Macaca mulatta: one gene and its partner. The protein of the gene in region 2 binds, or shares a complex with, the protein of the main gene of each other region. Links are inferred from orthologs where the notes say so. Each region holds a gene or a part of one and is shown on either strand. Other genes may lie near its edges. The genes, in order: KCTD16 and GABBR2.

Region 1 (4,523 bases), on a different chromosome or scaffold from region 2:
TCTAAGATGTACTTCTCCAAAAAGTTTGGAGAAGATATTTCTTCTTTAGAACGATAGATAATGTCATATTCCTTTATACAAAGCTAAAAAGGCAGAATCTTATCTCTACACTAGTGAGAAATTTACCAAAAGGAAGAAAACAATACCTGTCCACTAGGCTCTAGCATAAAGGAAGATATAGACTGTAGATAAAGGCCACAGATAGGATTAATGAACCAAATGATGTTTGTTATTGCACATCAGTATACTCCTGAACTGATTACTGATTTCATTTTTTTCCACAGGTTGTTCTGGCTATGCAATACGTGTGCCTTCACTTCTCAAAACCAAATGTGTGACAGCTTAGTAGAGAACAACTTGGCTTCCCACTAGCCTCTTCACCAAGGTTTCCAGCACCATTGCCAAATGAATAAACATAACTAAGGAAGAAAACCAGTCCAAGAAAGTCAGTCCTACTTTTATGTTTAAAGAAATTTAGATATTTTAATTCTGAATTCTGGATTTGTTTTAGAATAAGAATACAGGAAATCAAATGTTAACACTGGAAACACATTTCTTGTGGAATTTACTTCACCCAACTCCTGGGCCTGTTGAAAACTGGCAGTTAAAATCGAGTACCAAAGAGTGCAGGCTGATTTACTCTTCCTTTCAGAGATCAATGGCTCATAGTTTATAGTTTAGAATAATGCCATATCATAAAATGAGGAATCTGCAGGGTATCTTCATTTAAGCAAATGAACTTACCTCTAAGAACCCCTTACTTAAAAGGCTTCAGTATCATTGTTTCATTTCTTCCCTCTCTGGTTTCCTTTTATGTCAGTAATTCTATCACCTCAGCTGTCTGAAGGTGTTTGCATGTGATTGACAATTCTCAAGGATCTAGTTCCTTTTAGATAGATCTTAAATGAAGTTCAGCTTAATTAAGTCTGCAGTGCAACTCAGGTCTCAGTACAAAAGGCTTCAGAATCAAACAGCAGATTTGTAAAACCCTTAAAAGCAAATTTTAGACTTGGGGGGAGGAGGGGGCCTTTCAGCAGTCTGTACTGCCATCTAGCCAAGACCACATTATTCATGGCAACATCCATTTGTGTTTTCAAAGCCCCTGATGAAAGCAAGTCTTCAGCAACCAGCTTAATAGACCTCAAAGTCCAGCTAAATGAATAGACAGCAGTAATTTTTCCACTGAGTATACCAAGCTCCTATGGACAAACAGCCAAGATGCAATCATCAACCTTATTTTCACAATTCAATATTTGGCAAAAAAAAAAAAAAGATATACATGCTTGTTTCCATTTTACATATTGCATATACCAACATCATTTGCATCTTGTGATTTTGGAGGCCTTTGAATATTCTGTGACCTCATTGGATAAAAGTTGCCTTAGGTTAATCATGAGAGCTGAATTATAACCTCTAATTCTCTAACTATAACTCAAGAGTTAAAAGAATTCCAAACCATGTTCCTTAGGTATGGACAGAACACACAGACCATATACATTTGCGAAGAGAATTGACACACATAAAAAATTAAAAGAACCCTTTGTACTTACGGTAGAAGACATATTCAGTGTAGCTTGACCAGATCTTGTCATCTGTATATTGGTTGATGAAAGATGCTGTCACCGATGAGTTACAGGCCACCATGTGGAATCCACACTCTGACAACATATCAAAAGCCCTTTCCAGGTGCTTGAATTTGAGATAAAATCTGGAGGTGTATCTTTCTGGGGCTCGATCAGGGTCTCTGCTTTCATTCAAAGTTTCTCCAAAGACTTCTTTTGCCAAGGAAATCCTTCCACAAACCAAAATCCGGGGAACTCTCCGAAACTTGGCATCTGCCTGTCCCTCTCTGCCCAAGGTGCAGGATCCTCTGTAACCCACAGTAATGAAACCCCACTTGCGGTCGGTGGGGAGCAGGGAGGAAGGGGGACAGATTCTTGTGTCGCTTCCTTGGGAGGCATCTTCAAAGTCACTGTGGCAGAATTCATCTGGGCTTTGCTTGATTTCATCAGGGGTCAGGAGTTTGACCAAGTCCGGGAGCTGGAAGTATTCAGCTTCCCTTTTCAGTCTTCCTTTTTCTGGAAAGTGATCAGGCAGGACCACCTGCCTGTCCCTGAGATAGTCCAGAATATAACGGAACAAGAATCCATCTCTGTCAATGAAAAACCTTCCCTTAGAGTCCTTGGCTAGATCATTAGCCGTGTCTCTCTTTGGGGAAAACATTTTCCACAGGAAGGAATGAGGGATGCTTATCAATGTGGAATGGCGAGTAAAATAAACTTGACCCCCAACATTCAGCTCTACTACCTCAGGGAAGGAGTTTGGAACTGCGGCCCCTTGCTCTCGAGGATAATAACGACTACAGTTTCCACTCAGAGCCATTGTCCCTTTCTTCTGCTGCTGCTATTTTGATTTGAAGGTGCAATCCAATGGAGTCACAGCCTTATCCTTCGGATCAACTTGTAAGAAAGGGAAAAGGATGCTAACTTATTAAAAAATGACCTCCTCTTATCCCAGGTTTTTTCCCCCAAGAAAGCAAAATGTATAAGAGTCCACAGGTGAAGTGATGCTGAAAAAGTAGTTTAAACCCTGGATGGTAGATGGTAGTGAGCTGTTACTTCATAGAATATAATCAACTCATCTATATCCAATCTTCCGTCAAGCTCACAGGCAAGGCAGGCCAATTCCCCAGTTACTCAGATGTCCGTCTGAAGGAAAAGAGAAAAATTATTTCCTCAAACCCGGAATGAGTCAGAAAAAGAGAGTCCTCTGGAGAGAGAGAGAGGGAGGGAGGGAAAAACAGAGGGAGGGAGAGAGAGATTATTTTACATAAGCAGCTCTGGAACTACTGATCTCAGTCATTCTTCAATTAAATCATGCTTCTCTCATGCGATTTTGTGTCTACATGTTTATCTATAAGCCTCTGTCTCCAGCAATTAGTATGAAAAACAATTTTACTTGTAAGTCTACCTTAAAAAGAAACATGCAATTTTCAACTTCTAAATGGGGTTTTCTTTCAGCTGGACAGGAAAAGCAATAAGTCTTAGAGCTTACCTTAGTGAGTGCTGGAGACCCAGTTCTTGTGAAAAAAAAATAATAATAACCATTTGTAAAGCAATCAGAATCCACAGCCAAACTGAGTCTGGATCTTGTCAAATCCCAAACAGGTAAACGACCGAGGTATCAATGAAAAGTGCCAGAGAGGTGTGCTCTTGGAAAATAACTATTATATGTATGTATTTATATAAATGCCTATTTGTGTTTATGTAAGTATGTAGGTACATATGTATTCACTCCGTATCTTAAGTTAAAACAAGTCACAAAAAAGTTAAACCGTGATGAGAGGAGGTTGGGTTGAAGAAGTAAAGCAGAGAAAATATTCAACCAAAGCTTCCCCGTGGGGGGGAAAAATGGAAAAAGAAATCTTTGGAAAGGATCCTTAGAAGAGAGTTGCAAGAGGTACCAGGACTTAGAAGCTTTTCAGAAAGCCCAGAAGCAGAAAGATGGAGAGACGTGCCCTGCTGGGGTCCCAGGTAGCCACCCCACCTGCCGGCAAGGGCAAACAGACTCCCATGTTCCCAGCCAGGTGGGAGCCGGTGGGAGCCAGAGGCCAACGCAGCGCAGAGATGCCGGCGGGGGGCCCGGGGCTCCGGCTTCTCTGGTGGCGGAGCTGGGTGGTTCCACAGTTCCCAGTGCAGTTCGGATGCTGTTGTTTCAGCAGTGCAGGCAAGAAACCATCCAGGGAAATGACTATTACATCATCTTAAAGGAATATGGCTTAGAGGAAGCGGCGGCAGCTCCGAGTCACGTCCTCCTCCGTGACAGGTTGCCAGGACTGCATGGGGACGCCGCGCTCCAGCGGTGGGCACGCGATTGCCGGGCGCGCGGGGCTTGGGGCGGAGACGCAGTGCTGCGCAGCCACTTCCCTCCCTGTCCTGTCCTGGAGTCTGGAGTTTCCAAGGGCCTTTTCATTCTTTCTTGTTTTCACCTCCACCACCATCACCATCCCACAGCAAATCCCCGCCCCCCACCCAAGAGGTAAGTTGTGAGATAAACACAAGTGACTTTTTATTTGAAAAATCTACAAATCTTCCCCCCTCCCCCTTATCCCCTTCCCGCTCACGGAATTCCTGCTGAAGGGCAAATTTCTCTCTAAAGCTTGCTTTAAAACACAGACACGCACACCAAATGACCCCAATGTTCAAACTACAAAGTGGGTTTTATTTAATCCTTTGATTTAAACCATATACACTCAAATTCTCTCTTTTTTCTTTTCTGTTTCGTCTGCCTGCCACCACAACCCCTAGCAAATAAATAAATAACTATTAATATATACGTAGATGGGTAGATAAATAAACACTCTCTGAAATTAATGATGCTCTTTCGAAATGAAGACATGAAACACTGGCACCCACAGAAAGCCCACAGTTTGCATCCATCCATAAGTCATTATCTTAGCTTACCTGTAAGAAATTGATACCTGCAACCTTTTTCTGGGGTTGTTTCCTTACTGAGCATCTCTT
Region 2 (4,459 bases):
AGGAAACATTTATTTAGTGCTTACAGCATGCCAGAGCATCTTCTACCCTGGCTTGTTATCTTCCTTAAGCTGCGTGTCACCTGCAGAGTACACATAATATTCCCACCTAGGCTTACAGAGATTAAATGCCCAGCTCAAGGTCATCCAGGGTGGAAAGTAACTAGTTTCTCACTAAAACCCAGGCTTCACCTACCCCAAAGCCCTGACTCTGGACCCCTTCAAAAGGCTAGAGACACTTCTCTGTTTGCACAAGCTGAAATTATCTTCTGCCTTCCTTCCCACTGTTTTCTAAATATTCCCACGAATTGAAGAGTCTTCTGACTGCCTCATCCTCTTGACTTTGGGTCCTCTCACTCAGAAAGTCATCAAGACACACTTGAAAAATAAAATGTAAAGGCTTCAACCCACACCCTGAAACGAAGCACCCATCTCTTTGCTGCCACAAACAGGCCAGTATGAAATCTCTTTCAGGGCAGCTTTCTAAAGGGAAGAAACTGATGATGAAAACATTATGCAGCTGACAATACTTGGTGATGATGCAAGCAGGGCTGCCCTATCTAAAAATGTGTTTGTCCCCAAAAGACCGGCTTTGCAGTGACCCCTCCAGAAGAATATGTGCGGTAGCAACAGAGAAACTGTCAAGAAGATATACCTCCCTGTAACTGCATTGCTCTCTCCATTTATGTGTGCCAGACAAGTACCCCCACAGAACTTGAGATGCTCGGGCAAAGACGAGGGCGACAGGAATGTCATTCGGAAATGATTTCACACCGGGTTAGCCCTGCACAGCCAGCCAGCTTGCATCCTCTGGGGCAGAGGACGCCTCTCCGCCTGCAGCAGCCTGCGCGCACCGCTGCCAACTGCCACCGGTTCCTTCACCTTTTATTTACAGCGCGGAGCAAGCTGGTTCACCGGTGAAGCCGGGGAGGCAGGGAATAAGATACAATCTAGATTCTGCTCTTTCTCTGGGGACATAAACAGGGTCCGACCAAGGAGGAGGGGAAGCCCAGATTGCACCACCAGAGCGGTAGCGCGACCCTCCCCACAAAAGGGTTCTGCACCTGGACTCCAGCAGAAGCGCCTGGAGAGTCCCAGGAAGCCAGGGTCAAGCCCAGCGCCTCGGCCCGCTCCGCGCGGTGGAAGAGGCGCCAACCGAGCGTACTGCACAGGAAATCACTGCCCCCTTCAGGCCGCGTCTCAAACGCTGCGGCCGGAGCACAGGGGCTCGCTCAGTCCGGAAAAACTCGCAAACCCGACCTTGCGCGGCCAGCGATCGCTCCTCCAGACCCGCTCCGCACGCTCCAGCCCTGGGCTGGCGGTGAAGGTCCGCTCTGGGGCTTCAGGCAGAACCCAAACCGAGGCCGTGGGGAGGGGTGTTGGGATGGAAAGCCCTTGGCTCTCTGGCTCCGCTCAGGACTGCTCTCCAAGTCCGTGCTCGGGCTACTAGGTAGGATGCTTCAAGCCTGAGCCGGGAGAAACTGCCTGCAACCGCCCGGCCAACAGCAGCGGCGCGGCCAGACACCACTGCACTTCCGGGACGAGAACTGCCAGGGCACTTTCTGAGCAACTAACCCGAGGCTGGGGTCTCCTTTTGAAATCGCTCTGGCCACAGGCAGCGCCGGGCGCGTCCAGGCAGAAGCGCTGCAGAGCCGGTGGCCCCACACCTGCCCGCGCTGTGCGGGCTCAGAGCTGCTGGCGCGCACCAGGCGCTCAGCCACGTTGCACGCTCAAGCCCCTTGGGTTCCGGAGCCTTCCGGACCTCAAAGCGCGGCTCGGCTTCCCTGGGGGCCTGTGAGCAGGCCCGCGGCCCCTCCGGCCCTGGGTGGCCCAGTTTGCAGTCAATGAGCCTGTTCCTCCCACTCCGCACCTCGCAGCCCCATGAGCGGGACCTGGACAGGGGCAGTCAATGTAGGCCTTTGGGGGTCCAGCCCCCACCTTCTCCACTCCTTTTTCTCAGGTCAAAAGAGACCCCAGTCTTCCATCCCACCCCCACCCCTCCCCACACACACATACACACATAAGACCAGAGGAGGGGGTGCTCGGCAAATGTTACCAGCTGTGCCAGCCAAGCCCAGCAGGACCGCGGGGGGTGAGCACTGGGCACCAGACCTCTGTGGCCTCGGCAGACGCGGGCCGGTCAATAGGGGCTCTGACCAAAGGCCGGAGGTTGCCCCTGTCCAAACCACCCACCCCACTGCCCCCCGAAGCCCCGACGGCACGGGCAGCCGGACACTCACCTCGGTGTCATAGAGCCGCAGGTCGAGGAAGTACGGGCGCAGGAGTGACTCGTTGCGGATCTGCTCGATGGCCAGTTCCACGGCGGGGAGCACACCGCGCCCGATGCTGCCCTTGGCCACCTCCTTGGTGAGCGGCATGAGGCCCATGATGGAGAGCGGCGGGCTGCTGGGCGGCGGCCGTGGGGCGCCCCGCGCCCAGCCCCAGGCCCCGGGCGCCAGAGGCAGCAGCAGCGGCAGCAGCAGTAGCAGCAGCAGGCGCGCGGGCGGCGGTGGCGGCGGCGGCGGCGGCCCGGGCGGCCCGGAGCTCCGCGGGGAAGCCATGCCGCGCCGCGGGCTGCGGGCGCCGGCTCACTCGGCCCGCATGGCCTGGCCCGGCCCGCCGCCCCGCGCCAAGCTCTTCCCGCGGCGCCCGCGCAATGGCGCCGGCCCGGGCCCCGGCTCCGTCTCGGGCTCGGGTTCTGGCTCCGCTCAGAACGGCCGCGGCGGCGGCGGCAGCGGCGGCGCCCGTGACGGATCAATCACGCCGGGAAGGGGTGGGAGCGAGCGGAGTGCGGGAGGCGGGGAGCAAGCGAGCAAACGCGGAGAGGGGGGCCGGCGTCTCCGCGCGCGCCTCTCTCCAGCGCTGCCGCCCCGCACCGGGCCGCCTCCGCCCTCCCCCGTGCGCGCTCTGAACCGCTCTCCCGCAGGGAGCTGCTAGGCGGCAGCCCCTGGAGCCGGGCCTGGGGAGGGCGGACGGCAGGAAACGCGGGAGGCGAAGGCGAGGCTGCTCAGCGGCGGCTCGGGCCGCCTCCAGGGACGGGGACGAGCTGTGCGCGCAGGGGGTGGGGGAGGCGCTGGCGCTGCGGCGGCTGCGGGGAGGGCCACCTTCCCAGCACACGCACACACGCGCCCCCGGCCCTCCGCCGCGCCAGCTGCCGCTGCCCGCCGACCGCTGACCTCCAGGCACCAGAGCGCCCGGGGACAGCGATCTGGGAACCGGGACCGCGCGCTGGCACACGCAGTGGCCGCCGCCGCTCCGCCGAGCGCTGCCTGTAGCACCTGCACTGTGGTTTGGAACCGCTTTTTGGAGGTCTGGCCGGGAAGGTCTCGACAGGCGAACGTTCCACGAAGGCGTCCCAGAGGCATCTGCAGCCTACGCTCTCCCGTTCTGCTCTGGCGCCCACGAGCCCCTGACCGAGTCCCAGGGGTCGCTGAAGACGCCTGCAGGTGCTCGAACGCCCGTTGGTGCCAGGCTGCCCGGCCTTTAGGGCCTTGGCTGAGGATACCCCTTTCCTCCCCACCAGACGAAGCGACCGCCCTTTGCCAACCCCAGGCAAAGCTGGGGTCCCAACCTTACGTGCGCTACCGCCCCCTCCAGGCATTTGACCTCCCCGCGTCCCCATTCTTGACGGGCTCCGCCCTAGAAGTCTCCCAGGGTGGGAGCACTATCCTCAGGCCAAGGCGGGGCCGCTCCCCTGGACTTGGCCTTGTCTCTGTCAGGTCGCACTGGCCAATCTTAGCCAAAGCAGTCCCGAGACAGATGTACCCAAGTGAGCTGACCTAAGACCTTGGATTCCTTGTGCCTCTGCATACTTCAAGAATAGGAAACGTGGTCATTAATCTATAAAGTCCCAGGGGCTGATTAATGCGAGGAACACAGTAGGACATCAAATCACAAAACATACTTGAGCCTGAACCAGGGACTGTGGGAGATATCGACGACCTTGTAATAAGAATGGGAATTTGACCTTCGCTGAGTACTTACTGTGCGCATTATGAAGTAATCCCCACAACCGCCCTGTAAGCATACTGTGTTACTCACCCTTACTTTACAGGTGAATACACTGGTGCTCAAGAGAGGTTCTGTAGCTAGTGAAAGCACACAGAGCTACTGGAGGACCGGAACCCAGAGCCAGCAGGAACTCCGTGCGCGGTGCAGTGGGAGCCAGGGATGTGGGACTGCAAGTTTCCTCTCCAGGAGGGGCACTGCCCTGACTCATTTGCTCTGGACATCGGTTCCCTCTGGCATATGGTGAGGGATTTGGACCGGATGATGATGATGATGGCTACACACCAGCTCTACTGGAGTGAGGCAAGGGCAGCTCTGAATCCAGGCTGAGTTGTTAGGAAGCACGAAGATGAGAGTGGAGGCTGAGCAGAACTACTAGAAAGTACCTTGGACAGCGCCAGGGAAACCAGGCCAAATTCTCCCTGCCCTAACTTCTCTTTCTAGGCTTCTGTAG

Evidence for each region.
Region 1: the proteins of GABBR2 (region 2) and KCTD16 are in contact, whole or in part, in a crystal structure (PDB 6M8R), measured with the Homo sapiens proteins. The link is inferred for Macaca mulatta from reciprocal best matches to the Homo sapiens genes GABBR2 and KCTD16. Residues at the interface, in NP_005449.5 of Homo sapiens: Ile882, Asn883, Ile888, Gln889, Arg891, Leu892, Ser893, Leu894, Gln895, Leu896, Pro897, Ile898, Leu899; in NP_001357415.1 of Homo sapiens: Asn30, Gly32, Gly33, Gln34, Val35, Tyr36, Asp64, Leu65, Ala66, Lys67, Asp68, Ser69, Arg72, Phe74, Gly79, Phe80, Arg83.

What each region holds. Positions count from the first base shown.
Region 1 is NC_133411.1:153,077,365-153,081,887, reverse strand, and holds the start of KCTD16 (BTB/POZ domain-containing protein KCTD16), read right to left. Parts: upstream 3,064-4,523; 5' UTR 3,055-3,063; intron 2,709-3,054; 5' UTR 2,383-2,708; coding exon 1,551-2,382; intron 1-1,550. UniProt on the Homo sapiens protein: Auxiliary subunit of GABA-B receptors that determine the pharmacology and kinetics of the receptor response. Increases agonist potency and markedly alter the G-protein signaling of the receptors by accelerating onset and promoting desensitization.
Region 2 is NC_133420.1:59,698,426-59,702,884, reverse strand, and holds the start of GABBR2 (gamma-aminobutyric acid type B receptor subunit 2), read right to left. Parts: upstream 3,046-4,459; 5' UTR 2,559-3,045; coding exon 2,238-2,558; intron 1-2,237. UniProt on the Homo sapiens protein: Component of a heterodimeric G-protein coupled receptor for GABA, formed by GABBR1 and GABBR2. Within the heterodimeric GABA receptor, only GABBR1 seems to bind agonists, while GABBR2 mediates coupling to G proteins.